2 linked regions of the Mytilus edulis genome follow. Each later gene encodes a partner of the first gene's protein in a complex. Links are inferred from orthologs where the notes say so. Each region holds a gene or a part of one and is shown in the gene's direction. Other genes may lie near its edges.

Region 1 (11,022 bases):
TAAAAAATGAACAGATCTAATTTTTATGTTGGAAAAATTATCATGAAATTCTTTCTTTGTAAAGCTTTAACGTTTTTTTCACATCACAGCCCATAGATACATTAACAAACACTACCTGTCTTTTGTTACCGTATTTATCATGGACTTTCTTTAACCTCCCATCTATTTCCTTGTGTAATTGTTCTCTCTGTTCTAATTCTCTCTGTCTGGATAAATATTTCTCTTCTCTTTGTTTCTTAATCCTCTCCTAAAATGAAAGTTCATTCAATTATAAGCAAACAAAAATTCTAGTGAGAAAAATAAAATGTTGGTCATTTTGCTTTTCTTGATGTGTTGTTGTTCATGGAGAATTACCCAAAACATATTTCAAATTTGAGATCAATATTAGCTGTTTGTTAGAATAAATTTGTACATGCATATGGTATTTTACTAAAATCTTTCAAAATAAATTAATGTTTATAACAATTAATATTCTGTTTATCTTGGTATGCATCTATCCTTTAAGGTTGTTTTGTATTTGTTAGCTGTTGGTTTTGTTTTTTTAATTAATTTTGTAATATCTGCCAGAAGATATGATAGTCCAGTTATCAATATATATTTGTTCCACGTAACAGAAGTTTCCTACATACTTTTTTGTATAAACAATGCAATAAAATTTGTTCCTTTGCCCTTTATTCAGTAAGAAACAAATACTGTAATATTTGTTCCAGTGGCAATAATATTACAGAATATTTTTTTGACTTTCATTATGACAGAACTTCTATTTCATGTCGAAGGTGCTGGTGGTGAGATTCAGTGTGATTTATAGTGTTATCCTGTCTTAAATTATTTGTAAAAAACAAACTACACCAAACTAAGAAAATTGAACTACAAAATTGAATTTTAACTGGCTTGAAATATCTTTTTTCAATACCTCTGATTATTAGTATCTCCATAATCAGAAATGTTTTGTCATTTACAAATTTAAATTTAATTGATGGAATTCTAATAATTTTAATCTAGCGATATATATATATTTAGTGTATTGTAACCCATGGACAGACCTAAACTTAAGTGACATAGTTTTAGTGTTAAGGTATTCAAAATCTTTACTCTGTAATGTAATGTAAAATTGTGATATGTTTGTTGTACAACTTCATATCTGTTCATGATATCACCAGTTTCTAGACTCTTTGAATATAATCATATCTATGTGTTCCTGTACTGTGTCAATTTTTTTCTTTCAAAATTTAGACTTTTAGAATGGTGACATCATGTTATCCAAGAAAAAAAAAGTTCAAAGAAATACTTTAACTAAACTATGAAAAACATCCAAATAAAAACTATGATAAAACAAGGGTCATGGACGTCTGAACTGATATCAATTCAACTGCAAACAAAGTAATTTGCAGTTAAAAGATTTGTTGAATCAGATCATAGAATGAATGAAATGTCAACAGTAATTGAAGCTGAAAGGATATAATACAGTAATGCAAAAGGATATTTGTATAAACAGGCTAATAGTATTCTTTTTGTCCAGCTAGAATGTTCACATACTGAAAATAATACAAAAAATAAAGTTATTTCCAAATTTCATTTAATTTTTTTATATGATGTTGTGTTTATAGTATTCATCTAATTATTTTATATTCCATAATCATTTTACAAACAATACACAAGGCGTTAGAACTTTTTACCATTCATTATCCCAACGTTATCAAATTAACCAATGTTTGGATGAACAAAATTACTGGACCCGACTTCATTTGTTTGTCAACTCTTCTTGTACAAACACCGCTTATTCATACATCTAACTTTAGTTTTTTATGTACAAATGTATAAAGTAATTTTTCTTTAAGCATTTAATGAAAACTATCTTCATACATGTTATATGTGTCAGTACAGTACAGTTAATACAGCTAAAACATTGCCCTTTTCAGGTTTTCTTAAAATGTTTTGAATGAATTTACTTTGCCAACCCTAGACACATGATCTCATCTACTTATTCAAGATAAAAACAAATTAATAACAAATGAATGTGTTTCTACTTATACACGCACTGTACATGTATTATAATTTAAACCTGAAACTAACCTTCTTTTTGATGAACCTTATAACTGATACTTTTGAAATAAATTGAAAATCATAACTTCATAAGGGAACTAAATAAACTGGGATAATTTGATTCCAAAAGGATATGAAGGATCAAAGCTCAAAACCATATCATCTATCAGCTACAAAATTTCTGGCAAAGACAATGATCAAATTATATTACATGAATTGTAATACAAAGGGAGGAGGATTCTTATGGTTGAGGAGTCTTAAATAGAAGGTTTGGGTTAATGGTACATGAATAACTAAAGCCTTTTATTATTTTCATAACCATTGGATATTTCAGGAAAATTCTGAGCTGTTTAAAGTTTTGCACAACTTTGACACAACAAATTAATAGCTTTCAACAAACCCTTTTTTGCATCCTCTTCTTAACTTTCATTCTTAAATCCAGAACATCTACTGTGGACAAATATTTCCTTATGGCATCCATTTCATCCTGTACAAATATAGACATTTCGAAATTATTTTCAAAAATAAAATAAAGATATTATTGGTATTCAAATGAAGAAATTTTAATGAATCATTTCAATCATGTCAATATGTATGTAATGTATGTGATTAGATCCATACACATGTACATTGTAGGTACAAATGTATTGGTACTAAAAACAATTGTTACATCATTCAGCAGTATACATTATATATATGTAAATTTATTTAAATGAATTCCATCTTTTTCAAGTTTCAATTATTTGCACAAAGCATTAAAAAATCAGCAATCAAACAATTATCTATACATTCTATATGCATGATACAGATGTATGTTTAACATACAAATGTACATGTACACATCCCATACAAAAAAAATCCATAACAACTAACAACATGGAACATCTGGATTCCTGTATAGTTTAAATATTTCTCTTCCATGATTCTTTATAGTTCTTTCATACCTTCAATTTATTAGTTGTTCTCATTTCTTCCTCAATCTGATGTTGATCACATGATTTTAAAATCTTGATCTGTTTTTGAAGGGATGCCATCAGAAACATCATTCTTTTTGTTTTTTCTTGGACATCATATAGCTGAAACATATTATGAAAATTGAAAAAGATGTGTATAAATAAAGCAATCTTGCATTAAACCCTACAAAATTTCAACTGAAATATATACTTTTTGCATAAAGAATTAAAAGTTTTTCCAACATGCACATTTAAATGCTTTGCATACAATGTTTGTACATTGTAAAGACAAAATGTTTGAGACTTTACTTTGTAACAACTACTGCTTCCCTTAGTTGGTATCTCAAGGAAAACAGACTTGCTGTAACCCTAGCCTGGTCCCTTACATACATTTGTATAACCAACATGACCAATCAACAAGTGTACACATGTATATCTTAACACCTGTAGATGGTTTAATCATGTCCAGTTTTATTTACATTAACTTAACAATTTTTTAGGGGAAAAGATCCTTAGCTTTGACTTGTTTGATGGTCTCAACCTGTGTGATATATGCAATAGTCCAACAAAAAGGTAAATTAATGTCTGTTAAGAGTTAAAACTTTACTTGCAACTTTGAAACTTACACATATAATACGTTTTGGCCTGACCCATAGAGTCTTGTACTTTGAACAAAATTGAGGTTGCTGTCTAATTGATGTGTACCCTACATTATGTAGCTACAAGTACACGAGACATGAAGTACAATGTCATGAATGAAACATTTATCACATCACAATACAGTTCAATAATTCAATCGATTGAATCTTGTTTGTCTATCATTGGAATGTTGCAATACTTATTTTAGAATTGTACTTCAGCGTATTTTCACTAGATCATTTATGACACTGCTCATCTATATATATTGATATATAGATTGAGTATTGTTAGCCGGTAAACAGACAGAGAGTCACAAGACATGAAGTCACAAATTTGATAGGTCAAAAAGTCACAGGACAAAAAGTCACATATAATTCTTCAACAATTGTTTGAATATACATGTATAAGAGAAAGATCCAGAAATATTTTCTTTTTACTACATACATATGTATATTAATTTTTCAGATAAGGAAATTTGTCACAGGTTTTGATAAATGAAAATTCATCACATTTTAATCATGCAAAGAATATATTTCTTAGCACCATGAAGACATTTGTGTACCAAGCAACTTTGACATTTTGTTTTAATAACAATTATTTGATCATTATTGATATTTATTGAAAACATTTTAATTACAAAATTAAAGTTGCCTTTTATATCATTGTATATAATAGTTCAAGAAAAAACAAAAATATTCGTTTTTAAATTTGTGTTTTCTTGTTCAAAGAAATATACATGTAGTCTCAAAACTGAATTGTGACTTTTTGTCCTGTGATTTTCTGTCCTACATTTTTGCTAGCCAATTCTTACATTAACTGGTGTTTTGACACATTCTTTTTTCTGGACCTTCCAATCATCAGATTGTATTCCTTTTCTATCAAGCCATGATTTTATCCACTCTGTATCTTTTTCTTTCCCTGGCAGTACAGTTGCATGTTCTGTCTGAATTAATTCTTTTTTAAGTTGAAACGGCTGCTGGTGGTGCTGCTGAATTTGCTGATTCATAACTGGCTTGAGTGGAGGAGGATGAGAATTTGGAGGAAACGGATTTGAACCTGCGTAGGGTTTTGGTTGAAAATTAGGTGGTGGAAATGGATTAGGAAATCTGTTCATTGGTGGTGGCATTCCAAGCTGATTATTTCTGAATTGCATATCATTTTGCAAAAATGAATTGGAAGGAGGTGGACAATTTGGGATCATCATTTGTACAGGTTGAACTGATTCAGGAACACTAACATGACTAAGTCCTTGGTAGTCCAATGGTTTTGTAAATTGGTGAATTTGAGGATTTGTATGATCTTGTTGTCTATTGTCAAACGGTTTTTCAGTTTGTGCGAAACTCAAAGAACCCAGCAATTCAGAACTTTGTTGAGGTGATATTATGCTTGACCTTTGCACAAGTGTGGTGCTTTCATCCTGATCAGGAATAACATCAAGACCTGGAATTTGCATATTCTGTGAATTGAAAGTTGATTTTGATTTTTGTATTTCTTCTTGTGCAACTTTTGTAAAAAAGTTTCCACTACCTTTACTGTCAAGAATTTCATTCTTCTGATCATTCATTGACCAGTTAAAAGGTTTTTGATCATTCATCGACATGTTGATAAGTGGAGCCTGGTGATAGCCATCGATTGATGTTTGAGGTGTAATTCTCGAGTCAGAACTGTATTTTGCCATGCCAGTCCTATTGCGATTTGGATCTCTCATAGACATAGAAGTGTTTAGCTCCCAGCTTGAAGGTTGTGATTGGTCTTGTTGGCTGCCTTGTGTTTGCCCTTGGTTGTATATTGGAAATGAAGAAGGCCCTTGTGGTCTACTACTTTGAACATTGCGATTATCAACTCTTTCTTCAAATGAGCGTTGATTTTGCCCGTGTTCATTATTTGGAAAATTGGACGTGATAGTGTTTGTGTTTTGAAACCTTCTTGGTTGGTTATTTCTTGGGGTGTACTGTCCCGGTGTTCGTGGAGGAAAATTGTGTCTCTGGTTTTGGCCTCGTGTGACAAATCGAGGATTTGCAGGCCGAAAGTTCTTTCTGCTGTTATTTCGACTGTACATCTTTCTTATCCGTTTCTAATTAAAAAGTTGTTTTTTTTGGTTGGATTTTCATGTGCGCTGACATCTTTAATCTCGTATATTCGTGACTTTAATTTTATTGTTAATTGCAGCAATAAAAAATTTTATTGTGTAAAAGAGATTCATAATAGACAAAAATATTTATATTTGGCGTTCAAAATACAAAATAATAATAAAAAGAACAGTATATTATCTTTTTGTGCGACATCACGTGATCATAACAAAAAATCCAAAATGTCGTCTGACAGCAGAGGATGTCGCCTACTTTCAGATTTAAACAGCGTATTTCGGAAGGACCCCGAGATGTAATTAAAAACTGTAAATTAAGCCCCATTTCGAACAGTTTGGCATTTCAATAGGCGATGTAATTTCATTGAGAAAGCTTGCATTGAACCAAATTCTTCATAAAAACAGATGTAAACAAAGAAATTATTAAGATATTATGTCTTAACTCTCGGGACATTTCGGCCACATAACTTATGTGGCCGAAATGTCCTGAGAGTTATTAACCATATCGTTAAGGTCGTTTCGGACACGGTCGATTCGGCCACACCTATACATCTATATGGGTAATCTGTAATATGTTAAAATTTAAAGTTGTGTCATCCAAAATGTGCTCTTTTAAGGCAGCAACCATTTGATTTTCTGGGGGGGGCTATGGTTTTTTTATCTGTGCAAACTTTTTTTTTCGCCTGCGGCGAAAAACAATCTATTTTTTTCGCGACAGGTCGAAAACAATTTTTTTCTTTCAATTTTAGCATTACATATAGTGGCAGCTGAGGGTGAAACAAACAATTTTTTTTTCTCAGAATCAAAAACAAATTATTTTTTTCTCCAAAAACTGGAAACAAACTTTTTTTTCCAAAAAAAACCATAGCCCCCCCCCAGAAAATCAAATGGTTGCTGCCTAATTAAAATCATATGCACAGGTGCCAAGGCAGATAAAAACATTTGTGTGCTGATTTACAGATATCTGTGTGCTATGAGGTTGGTCTTGAATGCTTCATAGTCGTCAATGTCCAATAGACTAGACAGCAATAAATGCGGTAGTTCATTCCAATTTGTGATGGTTCTTACGAAGAAGCTATGTTTTCTTTGTTCAGAACTTGATCCTAATCTGACAAATCGCCGTTGATGGAATTGACGCATCATTCTTGCTGGTGGTGTCAAGTATTCTGGAATTGGAATTGCAATAAGTTGGTGGATTACTTTGTGAAAAAGGAGTAAACATGATGTTTTTCGTCTCTCCTATAGTCATGGTAGTTGTGGTAGTTTTAGGTTCTCTAATAAAGATGTTACTATGCCTGGGTCTTGAGAATACTCATGTCTGATGAATCTGGCTGCTCTACTTTGGACCATTTCTAGCTGTTGTATGTGTTTTTGGAGATGTGGGTCCCAGCTGGGAACAGTATATATCTATCAGTTAATATATGTTCCTGGTCCCAGAGACTGCTAGCATATACTTTTTCAAATTGTTCTTTATATTATATACACATTGTACTCTCCTATAAAAAAATATTATGTTAAATGTTTGATTTAGATGTTTGGTTTTATCAATCTAATATTTTGTTGAATTAATAACTAAATTATTATATTAACATGATTAAGGTCACATTTATAATGATAAAAGATAAAATAATATAATTTTTGGGCTGTTCGGCGGTGTGCAGTGAGTTCAGTGGTGAAAAGACCTAAAGATATTGAGAGTTTGTTTTGAGAAAGAATATTTTACAACAAAAAGTCATTTTGTCAGAATGACGTACATCCATCTGCTGTGAAAGGAGAGGATATGTTACACATGATAAAGACATTAAAATAACAATTCCTGCTGACTTTTAAGGCTTGATTATCAATTTAAAAAAACAGAGAATAGAATGTAATGTCTTAATCATAATACTTATAGTAAGAACCTTTTTACTACACAAATCCTGGTTCTAATTAAATATTAAGCACTGGGTAAGATTACACAAAGTATCTGACAATAAGAATTCATTATAGCTATATAGTCACTTCTGAAATTGCTGCATTGTATTTCAGGACAGGGACCCATCATTATAATACGGATATTGCAGACCACTATAGTATTTTTTTTTGGTCATATGTATTTATTGTTACTTTTAAAATTTCACATTTGCAAATTATGTCTTTTTTGATATATACAATTTTTGTAGCATCAGGATACATTGTTCTTTGTAAGGTCTTTGTGTCATTTCCCTGTATTTACATGTGATGTAACGTTGCTTTATGAGTTTCAATTGAGAATAGATTATATCTTTTACTTTTTGGATGTTGCTTTGGATTTTACTTCTATTTTTCAAGAATTTTTTCTAAACATGTACATGTATATATTTGTAACTGCACACAATTTGCATCTTGTTAAAATGACTTTGGAATCATTTTAAATGATCATTAAAACTTTGAAATGATATTAACTTTTCACTGACCTCAAATTGCACGTCACCCTCATTGGAATCCCTACTTAAGAATAGTAGGTTGTTTTAATCGACTTTGCTGTTCAAGATTGCCCAACAACTGTCAAACAATAGCAAACAATAGTTTGCACTTTGTCACTTATCTGCTCATTATCACATCTACAAAATGTATAATAACATACAGACGTGTTGAACTTCAAAGGAAATAGCCAAGGAAGTTGTTTCAGATACATATCCAGGATTTTGAAAAATGGGGGCCCAAACTATATGTGAAAAGTCTATGCATGAACCATATATGTAGCTGAACATGAATATGAAAGGAAGTTATTAACCAAAGCCCCTCACTTTGAATTTCATATATACCTTTCCACTAAGTTATTGAAAATTAACACTAAGTGACTCAGTATCGTGAATGATTTTGTCTGGATAAAACATCATTAGAACACAAAATGTGGAAGCCATGCATGCATATTATATAATATATTATAACATTTACATTTTGAATTATTTACAGTGATGAATATGACTTTCTACCAGTACTGGAACCCAAACACAACCGAAGTCCACTCATTCTACAAGACCATAAACTTGGACTTGAGATGTGGAGTGTCAAAATTCTTCATCATTATGCCTACAATACACTGATGACATGGAGGATGAAAGAAGTTAATGCCAAATTCTTAGGTAAAACTACACGCAATACCATCTCAGTTATTCATTTAGTTTAGTTTAGAAAATCAAGAATAAAAGTCAATGCCAAATGCATGGTTTAGATATCAATTTCTTTATTTTAATGCATCATTAAATATTGGCTGTTAAATATAAAAATTAGAAAGGATATGGGCAATGTTTCAAAGAGACAACAACCTGTCCAAAGAACAGAAAACAACTCAAGGCCACCAATGGGTCTTCAACACAGCAAGAAAATCCTGTACAGGAGGCAGCCTTCAGGTGACCCCTAAACAAAAAATGTAAACTAGTTCAGTGAAAATAGATGTCACACTCAATTCCAAAATATTTAAATGAACTAAATAAAAAAAGGTACAAGACTTACAAATGCTAGAGGCTGGTGACTTGGGACTGGTGCAAAAAGAAACTTGTTTTGTGAAATCTCAATCCTCCCCTTTTACCTCTGGATTTAGAGCCAACATAGAATAAACAAACACACAGCAATATGCACAGTTAAACACAGTTTAAAAGAAATGAAAGAATATCAAGTCCAATGTCAGAATACATGTAGGTAACAAAATGTTGCCAGCTAAAATGAGTGTATTATATTTTACTTGTTTATGTTTTACAGGTCAATTGGATTTAATAAATCTAACTAGAGCAATAGTGTTAGTCAATCCAGATTGTTCTACTGCATGGAACATCAGGTAGGGTTTGAAATAATCATTAAATCAATTAAGCAATTAAATATAATCATTTATATATACATTTCTTCAAAATAAAATTTTTTTTCATATTATTGGGCAGGCACCGCTAATATTGCCCTTCAATTTTGAGTCTTCAAATAAAGTCCCTAGAATGGAGTGTACTTCTACCATTTTTTTTTAATTCAGCTATCCAAATTATATTGTACTGTTTTATGCTTAAAATTGCAAAGAGGGAGATACAATTTTACTGTAAAAAAAATAAAGCCATGCATTTATGGTAAAAGGTAAATTACATTGTATGTGGTTGAGTTGATAAAAGTAAAACATAAGTATGTGTAAAGCTGACCACTCTGAAAATAAATGATTTATCCCAGGCCCTTGTTTTTCCTCTAACAAAAGTTGCCCAAAATGAAATAGTGTAATATGTTGCATAGAAAGTATTGTTTGTAAAACCCTCTCTCCTTGCATTCACTTCATATTGGTTTCTATTCACCTTGAACTTAAAGCATGTCACTTTCTTTATGGTCATGGTATAATATGTTAGTGCTATACATTATTGTATATAGCAAAGACCTTTTCATGATTTAGATTGCATGCAATATAACAACAAGGAGATCAGGTATGATTGCCAATCTGACCAATATCCACCAAAATCCAAAAGAAAAGGATGAAAGCAATTATAGCCAACCGTACATCTTGTACAATGAGAAAACCCCATACCATATTGTCTGCAATAAAAGGCATTTGAAAAATCTAAAACAATTAAACTGAGAAAACAAATTAATAGAGCAATACTTTTGTATTACAGAAAAGAATTAATAGAGAATGGTGACCTATCAGTAGCAGATGATTTGAAACTTGGAGCATTGGTACTGGGAAAGCACCCCAAAAGTCCAGAAACTTTCAGTCACAGGTATAGATAAATAAACAAAGAGCTAAAAGTCCACTAACCTGTCACAAGTAACAATAACATTCAAAAACATTTATAAACTTCAGTTACAGATGACAAGATCAATTTAAAATAGGGGAATAGAATATCTTAGAGTTGAAGATTTCCATTGAACTCAATGTTTAACTCAAAACTTTCATTCAGTGAAAAGTAAAAATATTATTCAGCAGGATGTTTCTTTCCAAATAACTGAATTTTCATGAGTTATCCCCCCTCTCACAATTCAGCCTTCACATAGAACATTTGTAGAATGTCAAATAAAAAGAATAAGACAAAATTTCAAATTAATTGGTTGATAAGGAATATGAAAATTTTTTAATCACAAACATTGTAGGATGTTCACTATAAAAGAAGTACTTGAAAATATTTGAAGAAAAAAAACACAAACTTCATAAGCCAAAAGAATTCTCATGAAATTGTAGATAAAGATAAACTAAAGTATGGTGTAAATAGTTAGCATATAATAAAATTTGTTTATAAGTGGTTGTGTAGATGACCTTTTGTGATTTCTGTTTACAGGAAATGGTTATTCACGACCTTGGTAGATTCATGC
Region 2 (10,875 bases), about 8.5 Mb from region 1:
GGTGTAAAAGCGTTGACCGAAGTACATTTTGTATGAAGCGCGGAAGCGCTTCATTCTAAAAATGTGCGCACGGTCAACGCTTTTACAACCCTATAAAGTTACAAAAAGAAGCATTCAATACTTATAATTACATTATTTAGCTATGATCATGAAAACACGAATTTTATATATTTTTCTATTTAATTCACCTGTGCACTTTATTGTTGGACCACGTGTTATCATGATGAAAAGTTGTATTGAGCAATGCAACTGCTTACGGAATAACACGTAATGTGCAGTTAGCCAATCAGAATAAAGTATTATAATGAAACATACATCTAATGTAATTATATTATTTTGTTTCGATTCTTATTTCTTGTATTGTATATATATTATTTTACTTAGTACATAGTAACACATGTCAGAATTAGACTTACCGTATGTACTTTAGTACAAAACACATTTTCGCCAAATCACTACCTTCCTTTCCCATTGTCTATTAATGTGTATAGATAGAAAGTTCGATTTTTATAGCTGATGTTTAATTTGATATTTACTGCTCAGCAGAAATCTGATCAAGAAGATCAAGATTAAATGCAATTTGCACTCTTGCAGGTTTATACAGTCGCGCCGACATAACTAAACAGGTATCTACGCCGGAAATATTGTAGGACAGACATAAAACAGTGTTGGGGTTATTTTGTATATATATACAATTGAAGTTATAGTATTTTATTTGATGAGGTTTCACTGTACAATTATAATTTCTCCATTCCAATTTCCAACTTATCTCCAAAAATTCCCCGAAAAACACAAATTAATGGTCATTTTTCTCCTTCTTAAATTAAAACCTTTATAAGATGATGCAAATGATGGTGGATGGCTGCTTAACGTCCAGTGGCAAATTTATATGCCTTTCAGAACGAGAACATACTAAGGTTATCTGAATATAAACCCTGCTTTGTACAAGACCTACTCGCTGATTCGGATTTTTATCGTGCTAGTGCACAAGGTAACAGTCAGCAAGAAGACATGTCTCCATACTCGGACACCTTATTCTGACTCCGAGCTGACTTGTCTTTGTTCTTATTACTTAATGCCGCTTGTTAAGGGCAGAAGCAGCACATACCAATTTTTTTTTTTGGTTTGACCCAGCCGAGGTTCGAACCCACAACCAACCGCACCGAGACTAACACGCTACCAGGAGGTAGTTTCCTTTATAGAAACTCTGATGAGTTAGCAAGTGGTATGTTGCAATGCAAATTTTCTCCTCCTTTGACATCATAATTTTCCAATGTCAGTAAACCCCCAGCCCCTTACATTATGGTTGGCCTATACGAGCCTTTCTTTTAGATTTGTTGGTATTTGTTATCGTCCTGAATATATAAATATATAAAAAAGAAGATGTCTAAAATATTTGCTGCTAGACGTTTAGCAATCAACAAACAACACATTTCCACTTCGCCACCATCATGTTCATGGTCAAATATGTTCTAAATGAACTGGGTAGACACGTCCTTAATTATTTTCCATAAAGTTACATTTTATTGTATATACCAGTTGGCATTAAAACTTAATCTTTTCTCAGTCATGAACAATCCAATTATTACAATACATGTAAAGCAGAATGGTTTACTTTGAAGGATAGTACTTATGTACTAAGTTTAGTGATTGGGAACTATTTGAGATATTGCACTTGTTTGCCGCTAGACATTTCGTGGTCATACATTAATTATTGAAATACATGTTATCAATGTTTTACACGTAATTACTTTAGTTAATATGATGTAATTAGTTATATGTTGCATTGTATGGTGGTCACGCTACAAATCAATTATATTACAAATACAATTTATTTTGGCAGAGGACATGCATTTTGTTTTATCTCTACATTTTCCTTTGGCAGATGTAAATAGCAGAACAATTACAATACAAATGTTTCTGAGAAGTGTTTTCTTATCATGTTAGAAGGTTGATATATGTGTTTGTTATATATATTTCAACACACTTGCATTAAAATGCATTATAGATAATCTTATATTCAAAATTATAGGTTACTTTTTAATCTATATAGATCTATTACTTTGAGAACTTAAATTGTTAATCTGTTCTTGTTTTTATTTATCTCATTGTATGTATCGTATTGCGTATTGTGGGACAATTATTGATGTTGTAATGTTTATGCACTTTGGGGCCCATAATAGAAAATAAAATATTTTTCTTCTATTGTGTATAGCTATACTTTTATGATTTGTTTTCAGTAAAACATGCATATTTTTTTCTCTCAAGTGAACTATACGTTCCCGATCTTTTATAGAAAATAACAAGTATATATACAAGTGTATTCATGTTTGTCATAGTTAAAATTAAGGTTGGACTGACGATCAAAATATGTAATTCTGAAGAAGTTGATATATCTAACCTACAGACATTGTGTGTCGACAGATTTATAAGGTAGCAGGAATATATGTTCCGTTGTTTTTTTGTTCTCACCTTTTTTCAGGCTGGAGTTATTTTTGTTAAGTATGTTACGACCTTCCGAATAAAGTTTTTTTCCAATCTAAGGAATGTCATCGAAGAAAATTTAAAAGCGAAAAAGGTAACTAAAAAGAATTTGACTTTTGTAGATATATAACATTAAAAGGCAATAAACTTGATAAATGTACATGGTTCTGCATTAAATTCATCTAGACCAATTCCGTAAAAAGAGATTTTTTTTTGTAATTTGATCATTACAAGATAATTTTGAATTAATGTCTTGTCAAATTCAGTTGTAACACAAACCATGAAAAAATAATAAATAAATCCGGTTATGATGACTTAGATCTTTTTTTTTAAATTAGCAAAAAAAATTAGTATTAAATTTAGTTTGAAGAGCAAAGTTTATATTTTAGAAATGCATTATCATGAAAACAAATTTTCTTGTAACAATTTTAATTCAGATTGTTAAACAACGTTGACTTCGTATTTGATTTCTGATTCGCCGTTGGTACCTCAGGCACAGGCACATGTCTCAAAAAAAAAATAATTCCTATATACCTTAATATAAACTTTAAGGTATTTAGGGGGGAAAATTTGAGACAAGTGTCTGTGACCTCAGACTCTACTGGTAGATTCAGATTGTTACATTTTGAAATTATTGGGGAATGGAGCCAAGAAGATCAGTATTGGCATGATAATACAAATACTGTTAACTTTACATTGATAGAACTTAAGAAAATTACTTGAAACTCAGAAAGACAATTCTCTAATGCATAACTCTGATTCCTTAAAACCGGGTTTGACTTTACTTTGGGTAGTTTTCTGTAATTTGACTACTTTAGGTAACAGTTTTGTTATAGGTTTTTAATTTACAAATATCTTCGCCTTGATTACCCTTAACAAGTAATCATTTGTCGAAAAGAGCATTGACATCGCAAATGTATAAAGTTTTTATAAGACCCACGTTGACATTGAAACAAAATTGCACGTACTACACTGGCAAAGAAAATATGTCCATTTCCTTGAAAACTACAGACGTACAGCTTATTTTACCATACTATGCTTCACTCACAGGGTAAAAATCTGAAAAGTTTCCCTTTCACAATACTGAATGTTTCATCAGGAGATCAGTTTGAGCGAATTGAATGATACAGTGTAAGAGATTAGAGTAAGCACAGTAAATACAGGTACATGTCATCAAAAGATGAAGAAGAATAAAATGAGCCACTAAACCGGCACAATGAACTGTATGTATAGTCAAGATTTAAATTAACATTAAAAAATAATTAAATAGTGAGATTGATTTATTGATAAAAATCATAATCAGGTTTCAAAATTGGTGTTTAAATTGTCGTTAAGTAGTAATATAACTGCGTGATATATGGTAAAATATATGGAAATATCTCTTAAAATAAGTACCTTTAAACAATTTTCAAAACTTTGGCCTGTTAATGATAAGTTAGTTTTATAAAAAATGAATAAATCGGTAATTGAAATGAAATTAAACCCGTTATTTGTTATGACTATTTTTATGTTTGTATCATATATATACGTGAAGACAGATCTACATGCCGTGCAGATCGAGACATGCACAGAGTTATGAATCTTACATTTTTTTTAATGTAATTTGATATAAATACCATAATAGTAATAAAACTATACTATGGAATCTGGTCTTTAAAAGTTTTCTTCGTGTCATGGATGTTCTACTATACAAATCTTTGTCGCATGTACACCAGGAACATCAGGGATAGAACGAGACTCTAGACCATTATCCCAATACTCATCTGAATGATTTTCTGAACACCAAATCACACAAATATATGAATAACAGTTGAAATTCTTCATTATCTAGATGCAAAGTGTTTTTCTTTGAACTGATACTGAAAAATTACGAAACATTGAACATTCTTATTCTAGAAAAGTGGTTTATAAAGTTACCCTTAATTTCAGAAGGCCACTAACGCTTATAAATGCTAGCTTGAACTACTCATTTTTTAATGCTGGCACAAACCTTAATCGTATATAAAGTTAACTGATGTTCTACAGCGATTTGAATATAATAATTTAAATATTATATTTGACCGACAAACATGAAATGTGTTAGTTAGTTATATATATATATATATATAGATGAGATGATCATGTATATATTTGACATTTCACATTGCTCTCATCACGTTTGTTTGTATTGCACAATTGCAAGTATAGACTTTATTATAGTTTCGAGTTGTTTTGTTGTTTCGTCTGACAGTCGAAGTCGAGAGTTTCAATTAACTCCACAAATCACAAAACAAAGCTTACGACAATTTATGATACTGTAAAGCACTCCATGTACGTTTTTGACATATGAAACTATTTTATATCCTTTTCTTGTACAAGACCAGCCATACCATTGGCTGCATGCATTTCAAAATTAAATCTTGCCAAAAATGTTTCTATGTTTCAAGCTTGTCCACTCTTAACGAATTCTTTGTTTGATGTTGCCTATCGGGAGATAGGGATTTTTTTCATGTTACATTAAACATGTTACTTGTGTTAAATCTGACAAGGACAAAAAATGATCATAATGTTGAGCTCTTCTAATTGTTCATGGACGTCAAAAATTGCTCTTAAAAAGCAATTTTTACCAATTCAGTTCATCATTTAGCCTTTCATCTTGAAAACTATTACAGACAGAGAGAAACTTTAAGTTGCAAAAAGAATAGCAATCAAGATCTAAAGATAAGAGCGTATTTTCGAAGTCGTCGAAATCGTCAGTCGACTTCCTATAAGAGTTATTGCCTATTGGTTACAGATTTTTCCAATCATTTTTTTCATGATTGCCTTATAAAACTGTAAAAGATAGATCGATTTTTTTTTTAAATAGTGACTTACAAGGAAAGATCTACATTTTAGACAAGTGGAGGAAATAATCTGACTCATTATTGGAGTTATTGCTTTAAATGACAATTTTTACCATTCAGTTTGTTTTAAGCGTTTTGCATTTATGATACAAATTACAGCCGATAAATAGAAACGTTGAACAACAAAAACTACAAGCATGGTGAGATCCACAAACAAGTAAAATTTTATAAATATTGTTAGTAGGGCTCTTCATATTTCACGGTGATTGCACTTTAAAAAATAAGTATTTGTGTACCCCTTTTTATGTTTTGAGCAAAAATTAAAGAAGATAGAGAGAAATCAAACACAAAATGATCAGCAAGACATGATCAACAAAAACAGTTTTTTGTCAGGAATTCTATTCTTATCCACTTGCAATGTTGGAAATTCCATTGGTTAATAGAATCATTGGATTAGGTTAGCGACACATACAACTATGTTCTTTAGGGACCCTATTTTATATCCAAATGGACGAACAGTTATTTTTTATCTCCAAAAACATTGACAGGCCACCAGGGGCGGATCCAGCCATTTTAGAAAGGGGTCAAACTACATATTCCCATTCAAATGCCGAGAATCATAGTGATCGGCCAAAAAAAATGAGGGCCCAACCCCCGCCCCAATATTTTAATTATAATACTTTATATAGTCAAAGTTAATCATCTTTATCTGTGTACATTATTAATATTACTACACATGTAAAAAAAAAATTATGATTATGAAGAATTTTATATCATGAAAAATAAGTAGATGTGGTAAGATTTGCCAGTGAGACAACTATCAAAGTTCAAATGATGTGAATGCAAGCAATTTTTGGCAACCGTGTGGGCTTCAACAATGAGTATAACCCATACAGTATAGTATGCTCAGTCTTCATTAAAACATGTAGTGGTATAGAAAATATTCCTAGATCCTATGTCAAATAAAGTTTAGTGTTAAGTAAGGGTCTTGACGGGGTTTACATAATAGAGAACAATGGACCAATGCTACAGAAAACTAAAATGGCCACACACATATAGAATACAGTAGAGACAAATGTATGCTTTGTTATGGGCGAAATAAATGAAGAATAGAGAATATTGGGATGTTAAAATATTAAGAATTATAGACAAGTCAACAATTGGTAGTTAAAAAGGAATCATAGTATAATGGACAAAAACATATCAATAATATAGAACGATTTCGAATGACCTAATAAAATAATACAGAATTGAAATTCCTCCATCCAGACCCTCTTGAGTTGCTTCATACATATGGGGGGGGGGGGCACATAAGTATTAGTCCCAGATAGGCTATATATGATAAGACACTGAGTTATATTTTTTTTAAGCCAACAATATATTCAAAAGATAAGTATTTCATTTGGTATTTCGTTTGATAACATACATAAATAGTCTTAGATAATGATTGAATTTAACGAATATTAATTAATACCAATAAAAATCATTTATGAGCATTTTCCGTATTTGTAATACGGATTCACGCGTCCGGTAAGTTTTGTGTTTTATAATTTTATCAAGAGAAGGTAACTCTGTTTAACGTCATTTCCTGTGTTGTCAAAATTGCCAAATATCAGTGCCCGTGATTCATGTGACATTTATAGTAATTTGTCAAAACAAAATGACCCTGTTACTACTTTGATTTGTTTTTGTCACATCTTAAGAGCATTTTTGAAGAGGAGGTTTCGATTTATCTTTACGGAAACATAATTTTTATCACAAAATATTGGAAAATATTTTGTGCAACATATTTTGACCTGAAAAACCTGAGAAATTCAAATTTTCATTTGAAATAATTGCAACAGTGTAGATAAAGTAAGTGTTAGTTTTCTATATTAGTTGAAAAAAAAGTACAGTTGTTCTAAACTAATGAAGGTTACAGGTGATTAAATTCTTTACAAATTAAAGTCTCCAGTATGACTAGCTGCGGAACCGTAGCTCTTAGGTCCTTATGCTATTTTTTGACTATTTGCGGACCATAGAGCTATGGTCAGCAAATAGTGAAAAAATAGCATAAGGACATAAGAGCTACGGTTCCGCAGCTACAGTATGACTTGGTATCAGGTGGGTCTCATTGGGGTCTAAGCGTGACGCGGGATTGGCGATTTTTTGTAAGCGTGACACGTGAAAGTCAAATTATTGTGGCGTGAAAACGGGAAATGAGGTCTTGCAGGACCCGGGAAATGACAAAAAAATGAGAATTGCTTACGTACATAGTGTAAGCGGGATATGGGAATCTGACAAAACAGTAAGCGGGATCCGGGATCGGAACCCCCCAATGAGACCACTTATCAGGTCTGGTCGCTCCTAAGACACATTCACCCCCTTCAGGTTTGCAAGTGACCCCACACGTTCATCTCTTTTAAAATCATATTTGTACAAATAAAAAATGTATATGAAGACAAGATAACCTTTTATGAGATAACTATACATGTACATGTATGGTGCAGTCCGGTGTATCCTCACACGTAAGATTTATGACTTCCAGGGTTTTCGCTGGCGGTCGCCATTTTCGCAATTTGCGAAAAAATAATGATTGTGGCGATTAAAATTCGTCATTGGCGAAAGAATTTGGCAAAAGAAATATATAAAACGATTTATTTTCAACCATCTTGTTTGTTTACTTTTTTTCGGATTTCTCTGTCTTTACCTGGTCAGACAATACTCGGAATTCACCTAGAACTCGTTAAGATTTTGACAGATAATCAATAATCAGCTGATTGCATTTTATGCCTATCGACATCAAAGGACTAATTAATAAAGGTTTTGATTGTAATGAGAAAATGATATGGTTGAATGGCGTTCGTTACATGTCACTTTAAAAAGGATCTATTAACGTGACTTTGCGACGCACGTGTTTGAAGCAAAATTTTGACGACTCTTCTCCTTCTTTTAATGATAGTCCAGAAAAGAAAACTTGCCTATGAAGGATAATGTTCAAAAGCAAGAAAGGTCTCTAATTTAAAACTTTATCATTTAACTTTGATAATCGATAATTGATTGGAGTGGGTACTTTTAAGTCGTTTCAGTGACACACATGTTTCAAGCATAGTTGTACTTACACATGTATTGGCGATGGTATAGAAAAGAAAACTGTCTTTATAAAGAAATGTATTCAAAAGGTTGGGAACAACCCCTCGAATAAAAATAACCCTTCAATGTTATGACTACACCTTACATGAGGGATCAATGTCAAGTGATAAAAAAACTTTTGTTTTGTTGTAAAAAAACACTTCTTAGTACAAAAGGACACATGTTATTATTTTTTTTTAAACTTTCCCAAAGAACTGTGACATTTTCATGTAACCAAGATTATATTCCAGGATTTATATCTTCTTTAATTTCAAAAAAAAGTGGTCCCTTTCTTTTAAAGTTGTTCAAAATATAATCAATTTTCCCTGTACAGTTCTTTTTTTTTTTATAAGGTAAATGTTTAGTATTTTTATTTATTACAATACAGACCGAAAGAATAGTTTTAGAAAGTAATCTTAGAAAGCAATGGGGCAAAGTAATCTTATTGAGGTTTGAGGGAGGGGAATTCAAAAGAAAGATATATTTGTGTCATATGGCGAAAAAAATAATAAAGTGGCGAAAAATATATTGTTTTGGCGAAAGAGGTGGCGAAAAAAATAATTGACCCAGGGGAAACCCTGATGACTTCACTTTATTAGAATGATAAAACCAAAAATCGGATAATATTGTGTGAAACATTTCATTCAATACTGTTAATTTCTTAAACTCTTCTGTACATGTATGTATGGTTTCACCCTTAAGATTGTGTGTGATGTGTATCCAAAATTTTGAAACCCCTTCTTCTTTTGTTACAGAAAACCATCAACGTACTAATGTTTACTTTCCGGCGGTAACTCCCTGTTTTGGGAGTTCTTTAAATGTCTAGTGATTTCATGCATGCCTTTTAAAAAATAGTTTATGTTGAAGAAAAGAAAGATTTTATAATACACACTATAATTATTAATAATTGAATTTAAACCAAACAGACTGCCAAGGATACAGAGCAAAATTTATTTCAATCTAATTTAAATTTGACTTTAATGAAACAAATTTTATCTGTTTATATAATATTTTTAATGGTAATTGTCTAAATTTGGTTAGTCATCGAATTGTAGTTATAAAGTTAATCTTGACTTATCAATTTTAATCTTTTTTGTCCCTTTGGAATACTAAAAAAATGACAAGAATGATTTTGTTACATTGTCCATATGACAAAATCAGGTAATGCACAACATCACCAGACGCACAGGGACTCCACTGTACAGTAACAAAATATTCACTGTGTTAATTTCCCTACAAACATATGTTAACAAAAATTACATGTGTAATACTCTTCTTTAACATTTTTCAAAACAGAATGACCCTGTTACTAATTTGATTTATTGTTTTCACAACTTGCTTTTTTGTAGACAAGATTTTGGTTCTCTTAAAGGAAAACATAATTTTCTTTAAAAATATTGGAATTTATTTTGTGTAACATATTTTGACCTGAAAAATCTGAGAAATTTTCATTTGAAATAATTGGTACTACATTGTAGATAAAGTAAGTGTTAGTTTTTTTAATTTGTTGAAAACAAAAGTACAGTTGTTCTAAACTAATGAACATTACAGGTGATCAAATTCTTTACAATTAGTCTCCACTCTCCAGTACGACTTAAGCTTGGTATCATGTCTGTTCGCTCCCAAGACACATTCGCACCCTACAGCTTTGCAACCCACACATTCACCCCTTCAACAATTACATTTGTACAAATAAAAAATATGTATGAAGACAAATATACATGTTTAATACTGATCTTTGACATTTTTCAGAAACAAAATTCAAGAACGATGAAGCTTTATTGTATAGAAGTGCTATTCAAAGATTCCAATGGGAAAGTAAGGCTTCTTGCTGCTACACATGACCTTCAATCTTTTGGATATTTTCAAAGGTCTAGGTAAGTGAAATACAAATGGTAGATACAATATTGTATCAGTAAGTTAATTTTAATTAAGTAGGTCGAGGATGACCTAGACACTATGACTAATGTTCTACAAGAATTGAACAAAATTCAGTTACTTTTGATGAATTTGAATGAAACATTTCATTAGTAAAATCATTTTACTTTCCCCTAAAATGTTGTTCTACCAGTTAGCATCAATGGAACTATGAAACCACCAGGATTTTTTTTCTCCCCAAATAAAAGTTAAGTAGGACAAGAAAACACTAACTTGACTAAGATATCTTAATAAAATACCTTTATACTAGTACTTTATTAATTTTTTTAGAAGTATAATAATTTTGTCTAATTTTTTGTTTGGTAGAAAAGAAGTTAACAAAGATGACATGAGTGTATTATATAAACATGGTTCATGTATTAATTACAGCTGATGCCATGACTTTTAATTTGTCATGTTTACATTGTAGAATTCTCCCTGCCATTGCTAAGATAAATAAATGTGTTATATTGTTACATGTACATGTCATTATAGTTACAATTATTTAGTGTGTGTCTTTTTTTTTTAGTGTCAAAGAGTT

The links.
Region 2: the proteins of protein prenyltransferase alpha subunit repeat-containing protein 1-like (region 1) and synaptobrevin homolog YKT6-like are in contact, whole or in part, in a crystal structure (PDB 6J7F), measured with the Homo sapiens proteins. The link is inferred for Mytilus edulis from reciprocal best matches to the Homo sapiens genes PTAR1 and YKT6. Residues at the interface, in NP_001093136.1 of Homo sapiens: Glu31, Gly33, Leu34, Ile35, Pro36, Val48, Val50, Glu51, Lys53, Leu54, Gly55, Ser58, Lys135, Tyr191, His225, Ser228, Met229, His230, Val231, Ser232, Asp233, Phe298, Asp301, Leu302, Ser305, Tyr306, His309; in NP_006546.1 of Homo sapiens: Met1, Ser29, Phe30, Phe31, Asn83, Glu84, Pro86, Gln131, Asn132, Pro133, Arg134, Gln180, Phe184, Arg189, Ser193.

Annotation. Positions count from the first base shown.
Region 1 is NC_092347.1:89,619,909-89,630,930, forward strand, and holds the start of protein prenyltransferase alpha subunit repeat-containing protein 1-like, read left to right. Parts: upstream 1-5,925; 5' UTR 5,926-5,946; coding exon 5,947-6,017; exon of another isoform or gene 6,018-6,030; intron 6,031-8,658; coding exon 8,659-8,828; intron 8,829-9,444; coding exon 9,445-9,520; intron 9,521-10,328; coding exon 10,329-10,433; intron 10,434-10,988; coding exon 10,989-11,022. Other genes in the region: programmed cell death protein 7-like, read right to left, coding at 116-247, 2,444-2,530, 2,988-3,119, 4,447-5,694.
Region 2 is NC_092347.1:81,089,187-81,100,061, forward strand, and holds the start of synaptobrevin homolog YKT6-like, read left to right. Parts: upstream 1-6,867; 5' UTR 6,868-7,160; intron 7,161-10,169; 5' UTR 10,170-10,187; coding exon 10,188-10,294; intron 10,295-10,863; coding exon 10,864-10,875. UniProt on the Homo sapiens protein: Vesicular soluble NSF attachment protein receptor (v-SNARE) mediating vesicle docking and fusion to a specific acceptor cellular compartment. Functions in endoplasmic reticulum to Golgi transport; as part of a SNARE complex composed of GOSR1, GOSR2 and STX5.